Linked DNA regions of Saccharomyces cerevisiae S288C. The gene in region 2 interacts genetically with the main gene of each other region. Each region holds a gene or a part of one and is shown on either strand. Other genes may lie near its edges.

Region 1 (3,941 bases), on a different chromosome or scaffold from region 2:
TATCAGCCTTGCCTTGGCTTCCTTCTCAACATCTAGTTGAATTGATAACATGACAAAAAGAAGTTAGGCAGTGGTAGTCTTCAAAAAAATATACAAAATAGCAAGCCTGTAAAAGAATTTAATTATGACCATTATTCAGACGGTTACTGAATTGGGTGTTACCGAGGACACCATTAAGGTTCAGATGGCTCCTTCCGGCGGCAAACACCTATTGGCAGATCCCGGTAATCATCCAGCGGAGCATTTTGAGAGCCAGATGTCGTGGCTAAGGTTTCAAACAAGGCAGTATCTAACTAGATTCACAGACAACCAATCAGATTTCGTACATTCTTTACAAAAAAAGCACAGAACGCCTTTTAGAGACGTTTATTTCAAATACACTTCGCTTATGGGTTCCCACATGTTTTATGTTATCGTGCTTCCCATGCCTGTGTGGCTTGGATACCGCGATTTAACACGGGACATGATCTACGTTCTTGGTTATTCAATTTATTTGAGTGGCTACTTAAAGGATTATTGGTGCCTACCAAGGCCAAAATCACCGCCAGTTGACAGAATCACACTAAGTGAATACACTACGAAAGAATATGGTGCACCCAGTTCACATTCTGCTAACGCTACTGCGGTAAGTCTATTATTCTTTTGGAGAATATGTTTATCTGACACACTGGTATGGCCAACAAAGCTTCTTTTACTGAGTCTGGTGATATTTTACTACTTAACCCTGGTTTTTGGTAGAGTTTACTGCGGTATGCATGGTATGCTGGATTTATTTAGCGGCGCCGCAGTTGGAGCTATCTGTTTTTTTATAAGAATCTGGGTGGTGCATGCTTTACGAAATTTCCAGATTGGTGAACATCTCTGGTTTCCCCTTTTGAGTGTAGCATGGGGCTTGTTTATTCTGTTTAACCACGTCAGGCCCATTGATGAATGTCCTTGTTTCGAAGATAGCGTAGCGTTCATTGGCGTAGTCAGTGGGCTGGATTGCAGCGACTGGTTAACCGAAAGATACGGATGGAACCTTGTATGTAGTAGGTACGCATCATGTGGTTCTAAGGTGTTCTTGAGGCCTCTGGTAGGTGTCGCTTCTGTGATTGTTTGGAAAGACGTCATTAGCAAGACAGCTGTCTACACGCTGTTAATTAAACTACTCAGATTTCACGATGATAGAAGCGAAAAGGTTCATTTCCATAACGAGACAAGTGAAGAAGAAGAGTGTTTATTGTACAGCGGTGTTTCCAAAGTGGAAATCGTCGGAAGGTTTCTCATATACGCAGGTATACCTACAACCGTCTTTTTGCTATGCCCAGTTTTTTTCACTTGGACAAACTTAAGGTAGACTCTCGTATGTATGCATTTAGTGACTTATACATATATATTGTATCTACATAACACATCATTGAAATTCACCCCGATGAGTACATATTTGGAATTCAGCATTTTTTTTTTCTCGCTTTTGATAGCCAGCCCATCTATGGTGCTTACTAATGTATAGAGAGGATATAACAATGAAAAATCAAGATTTCAGGCATGAGTCAAGACTTTAGCTCTTTTATATACCTTCAGGATGTTCGTACCATGCGTCGCAGGCCCTAGATCGGCGTTTTGGGTTTTACACATGCATGTTTGCCGTGGTTCACCCTCTTTTAACCCACAGGAATCGCTACTTTGACACCCCCGATCGTGTCTCTTTTCGGTATTTTGGCACCCTTTCTTGAATGAGAGCATGGCGAAGACTGAAAGGCAAGAACACCCTGCTATCTTTTGCCTACCATTGGCGAACGTCATCTTATCTAAGTAGTAAGCTGTATATAAAGATATTTGGAGGTTTTATTGGAATCTCATAGAATTTTCACTTTATCAGAGGTTTATTGACGAAGACTTTCGTGAGAAGTACAAAGTGAAGAAGTAAAAAACTCAACCGAAATATCAGTTAATATTATGAATACTTCAGAACTGTCAATAGCTGAGGAAATCGACTACGAAGCTCTTCCATCACATGCTCCGCTACATTCCCAGTTACTGGCAGGAGCATTTGCAGGTATAATGGAGCATTCTTTGATGTTTCCAATAGATGCTCTGAAAACCCGAGTGCAGGCTGCAGGATTGAATAAAGCTGCCTCTACAGGGATGATATCTCAGATATCCAAAATATCTACAATGGAAGGTTCGATGGCTTTATGGAAGGGTGTTCAATCGGTAATACTGGGGGCAGGGCCTGCGCATGCAGTATATTTTGGTACATACGAGTTTTGCAAAGCTCGCCTGATAAGCCCTGAAGATATGCAAACTCATCAACCAATGAAGACCGCACTGAGTGGTACCATTGCTACCATTGCTGCGGATGCATTGATGAACCCCTTTGACACCGTTAAACAAAGACTACAATTGGATACTAATCTAAGAGTTTGGAATGTTACTAAGCAAATATATCAAAATGAAGGCTTTGCAGCATTTTACTACTCCTATCCCACAACATTGGCCATGAATATCCCATTTGCAGCGTTCAATTTCATGATATATGAATCTGCCAGCAAATTCTTCAACCCACAAAATTCCTACAATCCATTGATTCATTGTCTTTGCGGTGGGATAAGTGGTGCAACATGTGCTGCGTTAACTACACCGTTGGATTGCATAAAGACTGTATTACAGGTTAGAGGCAGCGAAACTGTCTCCATCGAAATAATGAAGGATGCGAACACTTTTGGTAGAGCCTCAAGAGCCATACTGGAGGTTCATGGTTGGAAGGGGTTTTGGCGAGGTTTGAAACCAAGGATAGTGGCTAATATACCAGCCACTGCCATTTCTTGGACTGCATATGAATGTGCTAAGCATTTTTTAATGAAAAATTGATGTTTTTTCCCCTTTTCGAGGTCAACTTTTTTTGACAACTTATAAAAGGCAAGGCCAAAATGCATTGGTGGTGGTGCTGTTGCTGCTGCTGCCACTTTTGTTGCTGCAAAAGACAAGTCCAATGGTAATAATAGAAAAATAATAATAATGGTGATATCGTCCAACTCCCACTCTGCATATATAGCCAATCCTCCGGCAAAAAATTACAGTAGCATTTATTTCATTTTATTAGAATAAGCATCCAAGTTACAATAATTGAAAAAAAAGCATTGCTTGTAGATGTTGTTTTATTTTGTATATAACCGAAAGCGCAGTAACTATGTATATACGTACATTTAACGACTCATTTAACAAGCCATTGATGACCTACTTTGAACATCTCTTCTTAAATCATTCATTGATCTACTATATCGATGGCCCATCGTGTAGTCGTGAACAACCGGATAATTTGGATCCTCAGGAAAAGTTCTCTGACCAGCAATATCATCTTCCCATGATTCCTCTATTGATTCCGGAACAAGGTTGTTATCTATACTCCCATATGCCACCCAATAACTATTTCTTCCATTATCAGTAAATCTTAGCCCATGCTTTAGTCTTTCCATAGTCGCACCGGATTGTTGTCTAGTGCTTAATAGATCCATGGCTTCAGGATCGAAGTTCCTATAATTATAGTACAAGGGACCAGCAAACAAAGTCTGTTTAAAATCCCATATTAGATCACCGCAACCAAGAAAATCTTTCAAAGCGTAAATGAATTTCATCCTGGCCCCATAAGGTATGCTAAATGCTGTGTATTTGTTCCAAGGGAAAGCTACTGCATGCAAGATGGCGAAAGGCACCATCTCTATACACAGGAGCCCATTCTTGTACACATATCCAGAGGTTCGATCTTGGTTTCCCGTACCCAACTTTCCAGTAACCACTAGACCCTGGATTATGATGCTCTGCCAATAAGAGGCAAAAATAATCAATTTGACACATAAAAATTTCAACCATGGTTTATAAGGAGTTAATTCCGGATAGAGACACTTCCAAAATAGTGCTAAACTATACAGTGACCAAGTCACTGAAATATTATAAAA
Region 2 (4,285 bases):
AGGGACACGGCAGACGCAGTTATAGCTATTATTCTTAACTGCAACAGTTGCGGAGCCGTGAATGTAGAGGTCATCCCCGGCAACCCCAGCAGCTGGTTAACCGTGGTAGTGTTAAGCTGTCGGAGAGAATCAACTCTCTTTTCTAGTAAGGATGACCCTTTCAACGCGTTTAAATTCGGGGGAAATCCCTCAGTTATCATTTTGAGTTGGAGAGTTTGCTTTATTCGTCACACTTCGGATCACTTGTTTGTCGTTTTTTTTTTTTGGTGACTCTTACTGCTTTTTATAGACACACACACACACACACACACACACCTTCTTCTGGATACCGTAGAGAAAGGGATGTAGACAAATAAAAAAGGACAAAAGCTAGAAAAAAGACGGAAGAGGACGTGCGATTGCGTTGAATATGACCTTCGCAAATAAATATTAATAAATATGACGTTTTTGCCGCAATGCTAATTCTATAACCCACTCCTTCGTTGCCTTCTATGCTTTAATTAAACAATGGGTCCGGCTCAAACCTGGAAGGAAGATTTATAAATCTTGAAAAGAAAAAAAAGTGTGATTTAAAAAAATGAAAAAGAAAAACAAGAGGGCAAAAAAAAATGAACTACTTATTGAGACATGATTCAAGGGAAAAGACCTTCATATATACAGATTACTTTTCGAAATGGTCAGCCGCTTCATGAGCTCTTCTTGGCTGTATCGTACCACCGTGGTTCAATTAGGCAAGTATGTTGCTAAGATTAATTGCTGCGGCGCATCGTATAAGGTGATATACTAAATTCATTATCATCACTATGCATGGGTGTCATTATTATTAACATGGGAAATGGGCCCACTCCCAAGGACTCTATCGTCGATATATAGACAGCACGATTGCCCAGGAGTTATGGCACGTTGTTTTGAGGCTAAGTGTATTGTTATGTCGAGGTTGTCGGCAGAGCGATTCAGTTTGCACGATTTAATTTGGACTGGGACCTGCAGGGACCGGAATTGTAATGTCAAGGCACCAGTATTTTGGAAAGCGTTTATAGTGTCCTCCCTGGGGCCCAAAGACGAAAAGTTTTCGATTCGCATAGTGTCACTGTATAGCGCCGGATTATCTCTTCCTCTGACTATCAAGATTTCGTTGGTATCCCTTAGTTTTTCACTGACAAACCAGGTCCCTTGGTAATTAGGGTCAGCTTGTGGCATGGATATGCCCACTTTCTGTCCAATTGTGTAAGACCACAATCCATCGTGTCTGCCCCATGTCGTTTTGGCACCGGATTGTGGGTCAACGGTAATGATATCACCCGGTGAACTGGGTAGGTAGTGCTTTAAAAAATTCTTGAACTTCCCATGCTGGGAATTGTTGACGAAGCATATGCCCTGTGAATCAGGCTTTTCTGCAGTCGGGAGGCCTGCATACTTCGCTAAATCTCGTACTTCTGGTTTCGTTAGATGGCCAATGGGTAGCAACAAAGATGACAAAACAGTGGAGTTGATTTGTGAAAGGTAATAGCTTTGATCCTTGGGCCTATAAATGCTTCTCAGTAAATGGAATAATCCTTTTCCATTCATTTCCTGCATAACTCGGGCGTAATGACCAGTAACAAGCCAATAGTTACCCGTCCCATACTTCTCATCCAGCCACTCTCTCAGCTTGCCGAACTTGACGAACTTGTTGCAACCGATATCTGGATTGGGTGTCGACCCTTCACTGTAGCCTCTCAACATTGGTTCAAATACATCTATCCAATAATCTTGCTCAAAATTAACTTTGTCAACTCGGATGTTCAAATGCTTAGCGACACGGTTCACATCTCTCCAATCCCTCTCGTAGCATGGCTCCTTGCCAGGGTCGTCCAAAGATTGTGATTCAGACCAGTTCTGCATATATACTCCTCGGGTATTTGGAAATTCTCCGGCAAATAGTGCTGCCGCCACAGAGGAATCTACCCCAGATGACATTGCCACTATCACGTTGTCAAACTTTGCCGGTAGCCGCTGTGGTCTGTACGGTGAAGCACTCCTCCGTCCTATTAAATTTAAATATCTTGCCAGCATTGTTATCTGACTTGAATCGATTGCCAAATCAATACGCTCACATTTTTAACGTTCTTGTATGTTTCCAAACTTTCATTCTTTTACAATAAAGCAATGTTTTGCCTCAACTATTGAAAGAAAAAAATAAGAGACCAATTGTTACTACCCGGCGCTCTTAAAATTTTCAAGCGATGAGATGAAATTCATACAAAATGGCTTTACAGAGAGTTACTAGTACTTCACTAACTTCCTACTGCTTGAAGTAAAGTCACTAAAAGTACTTTTGTCATTTAAGTTACCACCACATATCTCTTTAACCTAGAATATGGCAGGCGTGCAGAAAAGAAAAAGGGATCTCGAAGATCAAGACGACAATGGAAGCGAGGAGGACGACATCGCCTTTGATATTGCAAATGAAATTGCCTTAAATGATAGTGAGAGTGATGCTAACGACTCCGATAGTGAAGTTGAAGCTGATTATGGTCCCAACGATGTCCAGGATGTGATCGAGTACAGCTCAGATGAAGAAGAAGGAGTGAACAATAAGAAGAAGGCTGAAAACAAGGACATCAAGAAAAAAAAGAATAGTAAGAAGGAAATAGCAGCATTTCCAATGTTAGAAATGTCAGATGATGAAAACAATGCATCTGGTAAAACTCAAACCGGTGATGATGAGGATGATGTCAATGAATATTTCTCCACAAATAACTTGGAGAAAACAAAGCATAAAAAAGGTAGTTTTCCCAGCTTTGGCCTATCCAAAATTGTATTGAACAATATTAAAAGGAAGGGATTTCGCCAACCCACTCCTATTCAAAGGAAGACTATCCCATTAATTTTGCAAAGTAGGGATATTGTTGGTATGGCACGTACCGGTTCTGGTAAGACTGCAGCATTCATCTTGCCAATGGTGGAAAAATTGAAAAGTCACTCAGGTAAAATTGGCGCCCGTGCAGTCATCTTATCGCCTTCCAGAGAATTAGCCATGCAGACTTTCAACGTTTTCAAGGATTTTGCCAGAGGAACAGAACTAAGAAGCGTCCTCTTGACTGGTGGTGATTCCTTGGAAGAACAATTTGGCATGATGATGACCAACCCAGACGTTATTATTGCAACACCTGGTAGATTTTTACATCTGAAAGTTGAAATGAACCTCGATTTGAAGAGTGTTGAGTACGTTGTTTTCGATGAAGCTGATAGGTTGTTCGAAATGGGTTTTCAAGAACAGTTGAATGAATTACTTGCATCTTTGCCTACAACAAGACAGACTTTGTTGTTTTCTGCTACTCTACCTAATTCATTGGTTGATTTTGTTAAGGCTGGTTTGGTTAATCCAGTTTTGGTTCGTTTGGACGCGGAAACGAAAGTTTCAGAGAACTTAGAAATGCTTTTTCTATCCAGTAAAAACGCAGATAGAGAGGCGAACCTATTATATATTTTGCAAGAAATCATAAAGATTCCGTTAGCCACTAGTGAACAACTTCAAAAGCTGCAAAATAGTAACAATGAGGCAGATAGTGACTCAGATGATGAAAATGATCGCCAAAAGAAGAGGAGGAATTTCAAGAAGGAAAAGTTCCGTAAACAAAAAATGCCTGCAGCTAATGAACTTCCTTCTGAAAAAGCAACTATTCTGTTCGTTCCAACAAGACATCATGTGGAATACATTTCTCAACTCTTAAGAGACTGCGGATACTTGATTTCGTACATCTACGGTACTTTGGACCAACATGCTCGTAAACGTCAATTATATAATTTTAGGGCGGGCTTAACTTCCATTTTGGTTGTTACAGATGTTGCTGCAAGAGGTGTCGATATTCCAATGTTAGCCAATGTTATTAATTACACATTACCTGGTTCATCAAAAATTTTTGTACATCGTGTAGGTAGAACTGCAAGAGCCGGTAACAAAGGTTGGGCATATTCCATTGTCGCTGAAAATGAATTACCTTACCTATTAGATTTGGAGCTATTTTTGGGGAAAAAAATTCTTCTAACACCAATGTACGATAGTCTAGTCGACGTGATGAAGAAAAGGTGGATAGATGAAGGAAAACCGGAATATCAATTTCAACCCCCAAAGCTTTCTTACACAAAAAGACTCGTTCTAGGTTCATGTCCAAGACTGGATGTTGAAGGCTTAGGTGATCTTTATAAGAATCTGATGTCCTCTAATTTTGACCTTCAGTTGGCGAAGAAAACAGCCATGAAGGCAGAAAAACTTTACTACAGAACACGCACTTCCGCCTCC
Region 3 (4,331 bases), on a different chromosome or scaffold from region 2:
TACAATTCAGGTTGACAATATTAAAAACAGAAAAGCCAACTTCATTTTGGCTCACAAAAGTTTCCAAAGATTATGTTTCTTTAGTGGTTAAATTATGTGTGGATGATGACATTGATATGGACAAAATGAAAGTTGGAAAACCAACTTTGAGAATAGACAGTATTACACACAATTTGATTAGTAGGTTAAAGGAGTTGAGGAGAGTTGATCTAAGGAGAAATGTTGGCGAAAATAACTACTATGCTGAAAGCATCATATAACGACTGCTCTCTTTTAACAGCATACGTTCTGTTAATTTATTTGGCCAAATATTATTGATGTTTATTTTTTTCTTTTTTGCATAGCCTTTCTACATTTCATGGCTTTATTTATTTATATTTATTTTTCGTTTCCTATTTTTTTGCATACATAGACACTACCTTTGATTTTTGCTTGTAAGATGTACGATATAAAGTATACTATGAAAAATTTGAAAATATTGGTCTTAGTTACTTTTTCTGGTTTGTTTTATCAATTCATGTAGCAGTGTGCACGAAAATCTAGTTACGCAATGTGAAATCTAGAAAACCTTCTACAATTTGGAATTATCAATCACCTCTCGTTGAAAGTTTTCACACACCAATTCTGGACGGTCGAAGCATAAATTATGAGAACAGTCAGGTAAAATAATCACTTTACGAAGACATTCTTTATTTATAGTTTGTTTGTAAAATTCCAAATTTTCAATAGGAGCTATAGGATCTTTTTCAGCGCCAAATATTATAATTTTCTGTTTCATATCCGTTTGCGTCAATACACCATTGAATTTAACCCAATCAACAGTTTCCCATCCTAGTAAATAACCTATGATGGTTCTACTTTTGTTGCTTATGTTGTTTTTAAATTGCCAGAACTTCCTGTATTTCAACTTGACATCATCACCTTGTTGATAAAAATACTGCTTGATGCCGGAACTTTGTAGACCTTTTACCTGATCGAATTTGTTTCTATAAACGTCAAATAGCCATGGCAATTTAAACACACCATAGAGAGCCCACTGGATAATATGTTTATCCTTAGAAAGCTGCTCGATATGTGCTTTGGGGGGCGTCAACAAAACTAGCGTTTGTACCGCTTTTGTATCAGCCATGTGCTGCTCGTAAAGATGACATGCCAGAAAACAACCCATAGAATGCCCTACAAGCACTATCTTATGACCGTTAAATGGATTTACGTTATCATTATTCGGCACCGCTGTAGACCATTTTCTTAAGACGTCACATACAAGAACGAAAATAAGTTCCACCACTTTCAGCATGGGGTAGTCGCTCCATTCTGAACTATGACCAAAGCCGGGCAGATCTAACGTCAAAAATGCCTTTTGATCAGAGTCCACAAGCTCGAGTAAGGGTTCAAATTGTTCTAAGTTGCCAGCCAACCCAGGCACGAAGACGAAAACAGTATCACCCCGTATCCCTTTATCGCTCAAGTTGTGACACGTCCTTATTCTTGAATTTCGATCCGATAGTTGTACATTAAAAAACTCCTCATGTTCTGCGATAAACTTCAACCTAAAGTCCAAATCTACCTCTGGTTTGCGAATGTAAGCTACCAAATCAGCTGCATTTTCTGCATTTTGAACAATCTCTTCTAGCGTCTTTCCAGAAAGGGGCTCACAGGACCAACTTTTTGTTGCTTCTGCACGTTCTGCCATATTCATTACCAAGAGAAAAAGTTCTCGGTTTAAGGCTTTCTTCTAACGTTGAGTTACGATCCAAATGCGACTGTACCATCTTGGTAGTTCTTTATTAATGAACCCTTTAAAATTGCCGGGTTAAAAGAATGGCGCGTCCTCTTGAAACTTTTCGAAGAAAACAACGTAACTGATGGTTAAAATTTGCATAAAGAAGGTCAGGCCTCGTCTGCGGACAACAACACTATCAATATCCAGCGTGCAATTATGTCTGTGCACCACAAAAAGAAGCTAATGCCCAAATCGGCATTGCTGATTAGAAAATACCAAAAGGGAATCAGATCATCATTCATTGGGCTCATCATAGTGTTATCCTTTTTATTTTTCATGAGTGGCTCAAGGTCCCCAGAGGTACCAATAGCTCAGGGCACCAGTGTCAGTCGTGTAGCCAGTAAGGATTATTTGATGCCGTTTACTGACAAGTCACAAGGAGTAATCCATCCCGTGGACGATGGAAAGAAGGAAAAGGGTGTTATGGTCACATTGGCCAGGAATTCAGATTTATGGAACTTGGTAAAATCTATTAGACATGTTGAAGACAGGTTCAATAACAGATATCACTACGATTGGGTGTTCTTGAATGACCAACCATTTAGTGATGAGTTTAAACGTGTTACCAGTGCATTGGTTTCAGGCAAGGCAAAATATGGGACAATCCCAAAGGACCATTGGTCCATTCCATCTTGGATCGATACTGAAAAATTCGATGAGAAAAGGCTTGCAATGGGAAAATTGGATATTCCATATGGTAGTTCCGTGCCTTACCGTCACATGTGCCGTTTCCAGTCAGGGTTCATATGGAGACACCCACTACTGGAGGAGTACGAATGGTTTTGGAGAGTGGATACCGATATCACTTTATTCTGTGATATTCAGTATGACATATTCAAGTTTTTAAAAGTAAATAACAAGAAATATGGATTCATTCTTTCGGTAAGTGAATATGAGCGCACAATCCCAACCTTGTGGGAAACGACAAAGAAATTCATCAAGAAAAATCCTAAATTCTTACACAAAAATAACCTCATGAAATTCATTTCGAATGATGATGGTGACACTTATAATATGTGTCATTTCTGGACCAACTTCGAAATCGGCTCTTTAGACTTCTTCAGGTCCGATGCATACAGAGAATACTTTGATTACTTAGACAGTTCTGGTGGATTCTTCTACGAAAGATGGGGGGATGCGCCAGTGCACTCCATCGCTGCCTCTTTGTTCTTGGACAAGTCAGAAATCCATTTCTTTGACGGTCTTGGATTCCATCATCCAGATTTCACCTCTTGTCCTATCGAACAGAAGATTAGACTACAAAACAAGTGTATCTGCGAACCTAGCAAGGACGTCACCTGGACTCCTGACTACTTCTGTACTAGAAAGTACTTTTCAGCAGGAAATTACAAGCTTCCACCAGGAATTTAAAAACCAAACTACAAATAGCGCCTGCTCCGTCAAAACAGGTGCTAAAACGTCAACATGTATCTATCTATATACACATAATTCAATGTAGTAGCCACCTCACTTTATTCTAGTGCCTTCTTGGGTTCAAAAATGGGTGCGGTGCGGCCGGAGATGAAGAGAGAAAAGCAAAATTGTATCTAAACCAGCCTACAAAAACACAAACTTGATATTATAAAGAATCAAGCATCTTACTGAACTTTTGTCCTCTACAGAAAAGCGAAAAAACTCTAAGAATAGAGAACTAGAGTGGTGTTCATATTTCTAGTCACCATGGCGTTTGAGGATTATTTTTCTTTCCAGATATTCTTCATTTTCTTAAGGGAATCCTTAGAAATTGTTGTCATTGTTTCTATCCTGTTGACGATCGTCAAACAAGGTCTGTCTGTTGAGGACGACAGCCCGTTTGAAGGAAGTTCCTCTTCTGCTGGTCTTCCAAGTCCAAATACGAACACAAACGCAGATTCGACCACTGCCTTCTTACAAGCAGGGCCTTCAGACGGTAATGCTATTGGAACGTCCGCTACGGCTGCTAATAATAAATCGAGGCCGCTAAATGTGGAGGAAGAAGAAGAAATTTACGAGTACTCTAATGAGCTTAGAGACCAGGACCGCGAGTCCGATGAACATACGGCTGACAACGTTAAGCTATATCAGAAATTAAAAATACAAATTCTAGCGGGCGGCGCATTTGGTTTGTTGCTGTGTATGTTAATCGGGGGTGCGTTTGTTAGTATCTTTTATCATATTGGAACCGACTTATGGACACTGAGTGAACATTATTATGAAGGTGTCTTAAGTCTTGTCGCGTCCGTTATTATTTCTGTCATGGGGTTGTTTTTTTTAAGAATGGGGAAGTTAAGAGAGAAGTTCAGAGTGAAATTAGCTTCTATCATTTATTCAAAGGACAATAATTTGCTGGGAAACAAAACCCAAAAAGGTGTGAAATTCAGTGAAAAGTACTCCTTCTTCATATTACCATTTATAACGACTTTGAGAGAAGGGTTAGAAGCTGTTGTATTCATTGGAGGTATCGGTATTGACCAACCACTATCCTCGATTCCCCTCTCTATGGTCCTTGCTACTGCAATCAGTACGGTGTTCGGTATTTTTTTCTTCAGGTACTCAAGTTCTCTTTCAC
Region 4 (5,029 bases), on a different chromosome or scaffold from region 2:
GTTTGCACGTAAATATGAGCCAATGAAAGCGTTATTATTCAATGTTTCCAAATTGTTTTCCACCGTTTTATTTTTCCCCAAGAATTCGCTTTTATGAATGTTTTTAATATATGCAATCATTTTATCAAATCCACCGATGATAAAGTTCCAGTGTTCACTCAACATTTTCATAGAATCGTCATGGCTTCTGGAATCGACTGTTAAAATAAAACAATATCTTCTTTCATTGCCTCTAGCATTTTCATCATACAGTTTAAAGCCTATAACTAAGTTCAATCCTCTAAGATCATCAAAAAATATAAAAGGCATATTATCATAAATCATTGTTTCTTCAGAAAAGGCTCTTTTAATAATAGAATTTAGCAATTGGTATCTTATAGAAGAATATTGGGTAGTTATAAACGGAACATCTTCGATGAAGCACCGCATCGATCTAGTTGACTCTTCAGGAAACTGTAAAAGACATGATTCGCAATATGATTCAGTTGGATAATCAGGCACTAGTAATTCTTCACCTAGCGTTCCCTTTTCTGCGGATTGTGTAACTGATATGATCCTTGGGCCATGCTTGTCGCAGAAATGAGCCAATGAAATCACTGTCGAGGACATTCTATGCATCTATTTCATCAACCATTTAAACGCTAACTTATTTTATGGAGGTGCTAGTTAGTTGGACTTTATTGCTTCATTTATCGTTTGATGGTCATCGAATAGAAGATTCCTAAGCCCTTTTCTTTTTACTCAAGATTTTCTTTTTCAAGCGTGTTTTTTCTGGCAAGTACGAAAACGGCATCTTCGAACTTGGCGAATGAACAATCGGTTTGGTTCAACATTTCCAAGAACAACTACAACATACTATCAGTGTTACTTTCAAAAGTCTTTTAATACATTTGAAATGATATTCAGTGGAAGTGGAATGAAATAGGCCACAGTGAATAGGCCACGATACACACAGCATGTGTCATGCTCAATACCTTGCACCTGAATCTATATAATCTTGTAGTTCACCATTATATACATAACTCAGAAGAAGAAAACAATACGCATATTGGATAGTGCTCCATCGCTTTTAACAACTGATAATTTCAGTCATCTGGCTCAGGGTCTTGTCGATTTTTTTTATTTAGAAACTATCCGAATAAAAAAACCGCAGGAATACAAAGCGATGGGAATTGCTATTTCACTGAACATGTATGTATACCGTATACCGCATAAAATAACTATAAACCTACACCATTAAACGATGTGTGCAAAGAAGCTCAAATACGCTGCTGGCGATGACTTTGTACGCTATGCTACACCTAAAGAGGCCATGGAGGAAACTAGACGTGAATTCGAGAAAGAGAAACAACGACAGCAACAAATAAAGGTTACTCAAGCACAAACTCCCAACACTAGAGTCCACTCAGCTCCAATTCCCTTACAAACTCAATATAACAAAAACAGAGCAGAAAACGGTCACCACTCCTATGGTTCTCCCCAAAGTTATTCTCCAAGACATACGAAAACACCTGTGGATCCTAGATATAATGTTATCGCACAGAAACCAGCAGGCAGGCCTATACCTCCAGCGCCAACCCATTATAACAACTTGAACACTTCCGCTCAACGGATAGCTTCCTCTCCTCCTCCCCTAATTCACAATCAAGCAGTGCCTGCACAACTCTTGAAGAAAGTTGCACCTGCTTCGTTCGATAGCAGAGAAGATGTACGAGACATGCAAGTGGCCACACAGCTATTTCATAACCATGATGTAAAGGGCAAAAACCGACTGACAGCTGAGGAACTACAGAACTTACTACAAAACGACGACAACTCCCATTTTTGTATATCATCAGTAGATGCGCTGATAAATTTATTTGGTGCTTCCAGGTTTGGCACTGTCAACCAGGCAGAATTCATCGCCCTATACAAAAGAGTGAAAAGTTGGAGAAAAGTTTATGTGGACAATGATATCAACGGATCGCTCACCATTTCTGTAAGCGAATTTCATAACTCACTTCAAGAACTAGGATATCTAATACCTTTTGAAGTTAGCGAGAAAACATTTGACCAATATGCTGAGTTTATAAACAGAAATGGAACAGGAAAAGAACTAAAGTTTGATAAATTCGTTGAGGCGTTAGTTTGGCTAATGAGATTAACAAAATTATTCAGGAAATTCGATACTAATCAAGAAGGCATTGCAACCATACAGTACAAAGATTTTATCGATGCTACATTATATTTAGGTCGTTTCCTACCTCATTGATGAAAACCATTCGTTCTTTCTGGTCGTAATACAAATAGAAGAGGTAAACCAATCAATGGCCCGTTAGTTTGCCATTTGCTGCATCCTTCCCATGCAAAGTGTCTTCGTATTTAGTGATGTTTTGTTAGCGACACAAAAGAGACCTCGATGACAGACATTTTTTTTTCTTTACTTAATGTATTATAAGTGTGTCTGACCTCGACTATCATTATAATATTAATTTGAAGTTCTATTTTACATTTATATGAGTTATTCCATTACATAATAAGGATATCAAGAGCAGATTAGTGTCTTTTAGATTATACATCTTTTTCCCCCCTTTTTTGTTGTTGGTAGTGGAAAGAAAAGGATCAATTAACAGAAATAAATAAATAAATAATAAAAACCTAAAATTCCTTTTGCGTCATTGAATTTTTATTATGAAGTCAAAAGGGAGTCGGTTGTCAACAGACTGTCCTGTCGAATTTCCCAAGATAGTCTCTGGATTCGCTGAGGAAGTGAAAATACGTAGACAAAGTTCCCAAGGACAGTACGCCGTCGATTCACATCCTCCGAAAAGCCCTGAACTGAAACACAGAAGACAGAGGTCATCCTCTTTTGTTAACGGTAAATGCAGGAACAGGGACCTTCCATTGTTAGATAACAAGAAAGCACAAGAAATAAACACCAATTCACACGGCCAAGACATCGGTATCAAAAACTTACCACGTCAACGTGAGTTGTTGAATGCCAAAAATGGAATTGATTTTACGCTGATGGTGGCGGGTCAAAGTGGATTGGGTAAAACCACGTTTATCAATTCCTTATTTTCTACTTCTTTAATTGATGATGACATCAAAGAAAACAAACCTATTATTCGTTATAAAAGCATTGTAGAAGGAGATGGAACACACCTTAATTTCAACGTCATCGATACACCTGGTTTTGGTAACAATATGGATAATGCATTTACGTGGAGGACAATGGTTAACTATATTGATGAAGAAATAAGATCGTACATTTTCCAAGAAGAACAACCTGATAGGACAAAAATGGTTGATAATAGAGTCCATTGTTGTTTGTACTTTCTGAGACCTTCAAATAAGGGAATTGATACTTTAGACGTCGTAACAATGAAAAAATTAGCGAAGAGAGTGAATTTAATCCCGGTTATTGCTAAATCAGATTTGCTAACGAAAGAGGAATTGAAAAACTTCAAAACACAAGTTAGAGAAATAATAAGAGTACAAGATATCCCTGTATGTTTCTTTTTCGGCGATGAAGTTTTGAATGCAACACAAGATATTTTTCAAAAATATCCATTCAGTATAATTGCATCTAATGAGTACATTTTTAATGAAAAGGGCGAAAAAGTTAAAGGAAGACAATACAAATGGGGCGCTGTTGACATTGAAAATGAAAAGTACTGTGACTTCAAAATCTTGCAAAAGACGATTTTTGATTGGAATTTAATTGATCTTGTAGAAAGTACCGAGGATTATTATGAAAAATGCAGATCTGAAATGCTAAGAACTAGGCTATTAAAGGCCAGAGATTGCTTAACAACGAAAAGTGTTGACATAACGGAAGAACAAAGGAAATTTTTGGAGGAAGAAATGAACTTCGATGAAATCGAGGAAAACAAACTCAAAAATTACAAGTGCTATGAAATAATTAATAAAACGGTCATGGATAAGGTGGCTACAGAATGGGATCCTGAATTTATAACTAGACAATTAGAAGCTAAGAAAAAATTCAACGAGCTGTCCAACAGAGAAATTTCAAAATTTCGAGACTGGAAAAAGAGCCTATTCATGGAACAAGAGAATTTTAACCAAGAGATTGAACAATTGAATCACAAGTTGGAAAACTTACAACTGGAATGTCAGGACTTGGAATACAAGCTGTTAATCGGAAAAAGTTCCAACAGCCATTCCACAGATAGTGCTACTTTAGTAAACGTTCACATCAAAAGGTAGTATTAATTAAAAAAAAAAAAAAGCCAATAATTTCGCGCAAGCTTTGCTCTACATAATAAAAATACAATTAGGATAGAAATGAATATTTTTTTAGCGGCAGTTTTACCATAAGTAGCAAAACCCTAACAATACAATGTGAGACTAAAGTAAATCCGGGTAATACAAAATACAATTTTTTTTTATTCTTCACAGCGTTTTTTCGACGGAGGAGGGAAAAAAAAAAATTGTATTTAAGGCATCAAATGCGCGACATCATATACCTTTGTCCGCTGTTATCATACCTTGAACCTCTACATTTCAGCCTAGCGCGCGCAAAAAGAAAAAAAAATCATAAGCAAGAGTGGTACGGTAACCACAAGGCAATGCAAAGAAGGGTGCGATATCAAGTGATGTTACCTTCCTTTACTTTTTGCCTTTTTCTTGAATTGTCAATCCGCCCTTTTTTTCTTTTCAGTTTTTTCTCCTTTCATCCGTCTCGTTTATCATAATGATGATTTCACTTATACCTATATGTTTTTTCTGGCATCTCTAATGTTAGGATGTGAAGTTTAAGTACTCTCCATTCAATGAATACAATTTTTGACAATATCTGATTTTACTATGATTAAACAGACCGAGGGAGAAAAAAAAAAGGAACTAAAAAAGGGCCTACGTAGAAGATGATGTAAAAGTAGATTCGCATCTGAGAATGTTTTCTTCAAATTTTTCTTTTCGGCCTTGGCGCAGAAGACTTTCTCTTCGTCCGCGTCGTATAGGAAACAAAAAAGTGTAAAAAGTAAAAATCGGTATATTACGCAATCCATTCGTTACCCGGTGTAGT

The links.
Region 1: mutations in SLM3 (region 2) and MRS4 together harm fitness more than expected from each alone (negative genetic interaction), as found in Saccharomyces cerevisiae (2 studies listed by BioGRID).
Region 3: mutations in SLM3 (region 2) and KTR3 together harm fitness more than expected from each alone (negative genetic interaction), as found in Saccharomyces cerevisiae (2 studies listed by BioGRID).
Region 4: mutations in SLM3 (region 2) and SPR3 together harm fitness more than expected from each alone (negative genetic interaction), as found in Saccharomyces cerevisiae (2 studies listed by BioGRID).

The regions. Positions count from the first base shown.
Region 1 is NC_001143.9:531,465-535,405, reverse strand, and holds MRS4 (Fe(2+) transporter), read left to right. Parts: upstream 1-1,941; coding exon 1,942-2,856; downstream 2,857-3,941. Other genes in the region: sphinganine kinase YSR3, read left to right, coding at 125-1,339; HFL1 (Hfl1p), read right to left, coding at 3,204-3,941. UniProt on the Saccharomyces cerevisiae protein: MRS4 suppresses a mitochondrial splice defect in the first intron of the COB gene. It may act as a carrier, exerting its suppressor activity via modulation of solute concentrations in the mitochondrion (possibly of cations). Not essential.
Region 2 is NC_001136.10:391,858-396,142, forward strand, and holds SLM3 (tRNA-5-taurinomethyluridine 2-sulfurtransferase), read right to left. Parts: upstream 2,056-4,285; coding exon 802-2,055; downstream 1-801. Other genes in the region: GPR1 (Gpr1p), read right to left, coding at 1-200; ATP-dependent RNA helicase DBP10, read left to right, coding at 2,360-4,285. UniProt on the Saccharomyces cerevisiae protein: Catalyzes the 2-thiolation of uridine at the wobble position (U34) of mitochondrial tRNA(Lys), tRNA(Glu) and tRNA(Gln).
Region 3 is NC_001134.8:631,683-636,013, forward strand, and holds KTR3 (mannosyltransferase KTR3), read left to right. Parts: upstream 1-1,939; coding exon 1,940-3,154; downstream 3,155-4,331. Other genes in the region: COS111 (Cos111p), read left to right, coding at 1-260; LDH1 (triacylglycerol lipase), read right to left, coding at 572-1,699; FTH1 (Fth1p), read left to right, coding at 3,464-4,331. UniProt on the Saccharomyces cerevisiae protein: Possible glycosyltransferase that transfers an alpha-D-mannosyl residue from GDP-mannose into lipid-linked oligosaccharide, forming an alpha-(1->2)-D-mannosyl-D-mannose linkage.
Region 4 is NC_001139.9:604,893-609,921, forward strand, and holds SPR3 (septin SPR3), read left to right. Parts: upstream 1-2,670; coding exon 2,671-4,209; downstream 4,210-5,029. Other genes in the region: LST7 (Lst7p), read right to left, coding at 1-609; PEF1 (Pef1p), read left to right, coding at 1,244-2,251. UniProt on the Saccharomyces cerevisiae protein: Septins are GTPases involved in cytokinesis that assemble into filaments and form a ring at the cleavage site. May act by recruiting MYO1 and HOF1, a protein involved in septation, to the site of cleavage.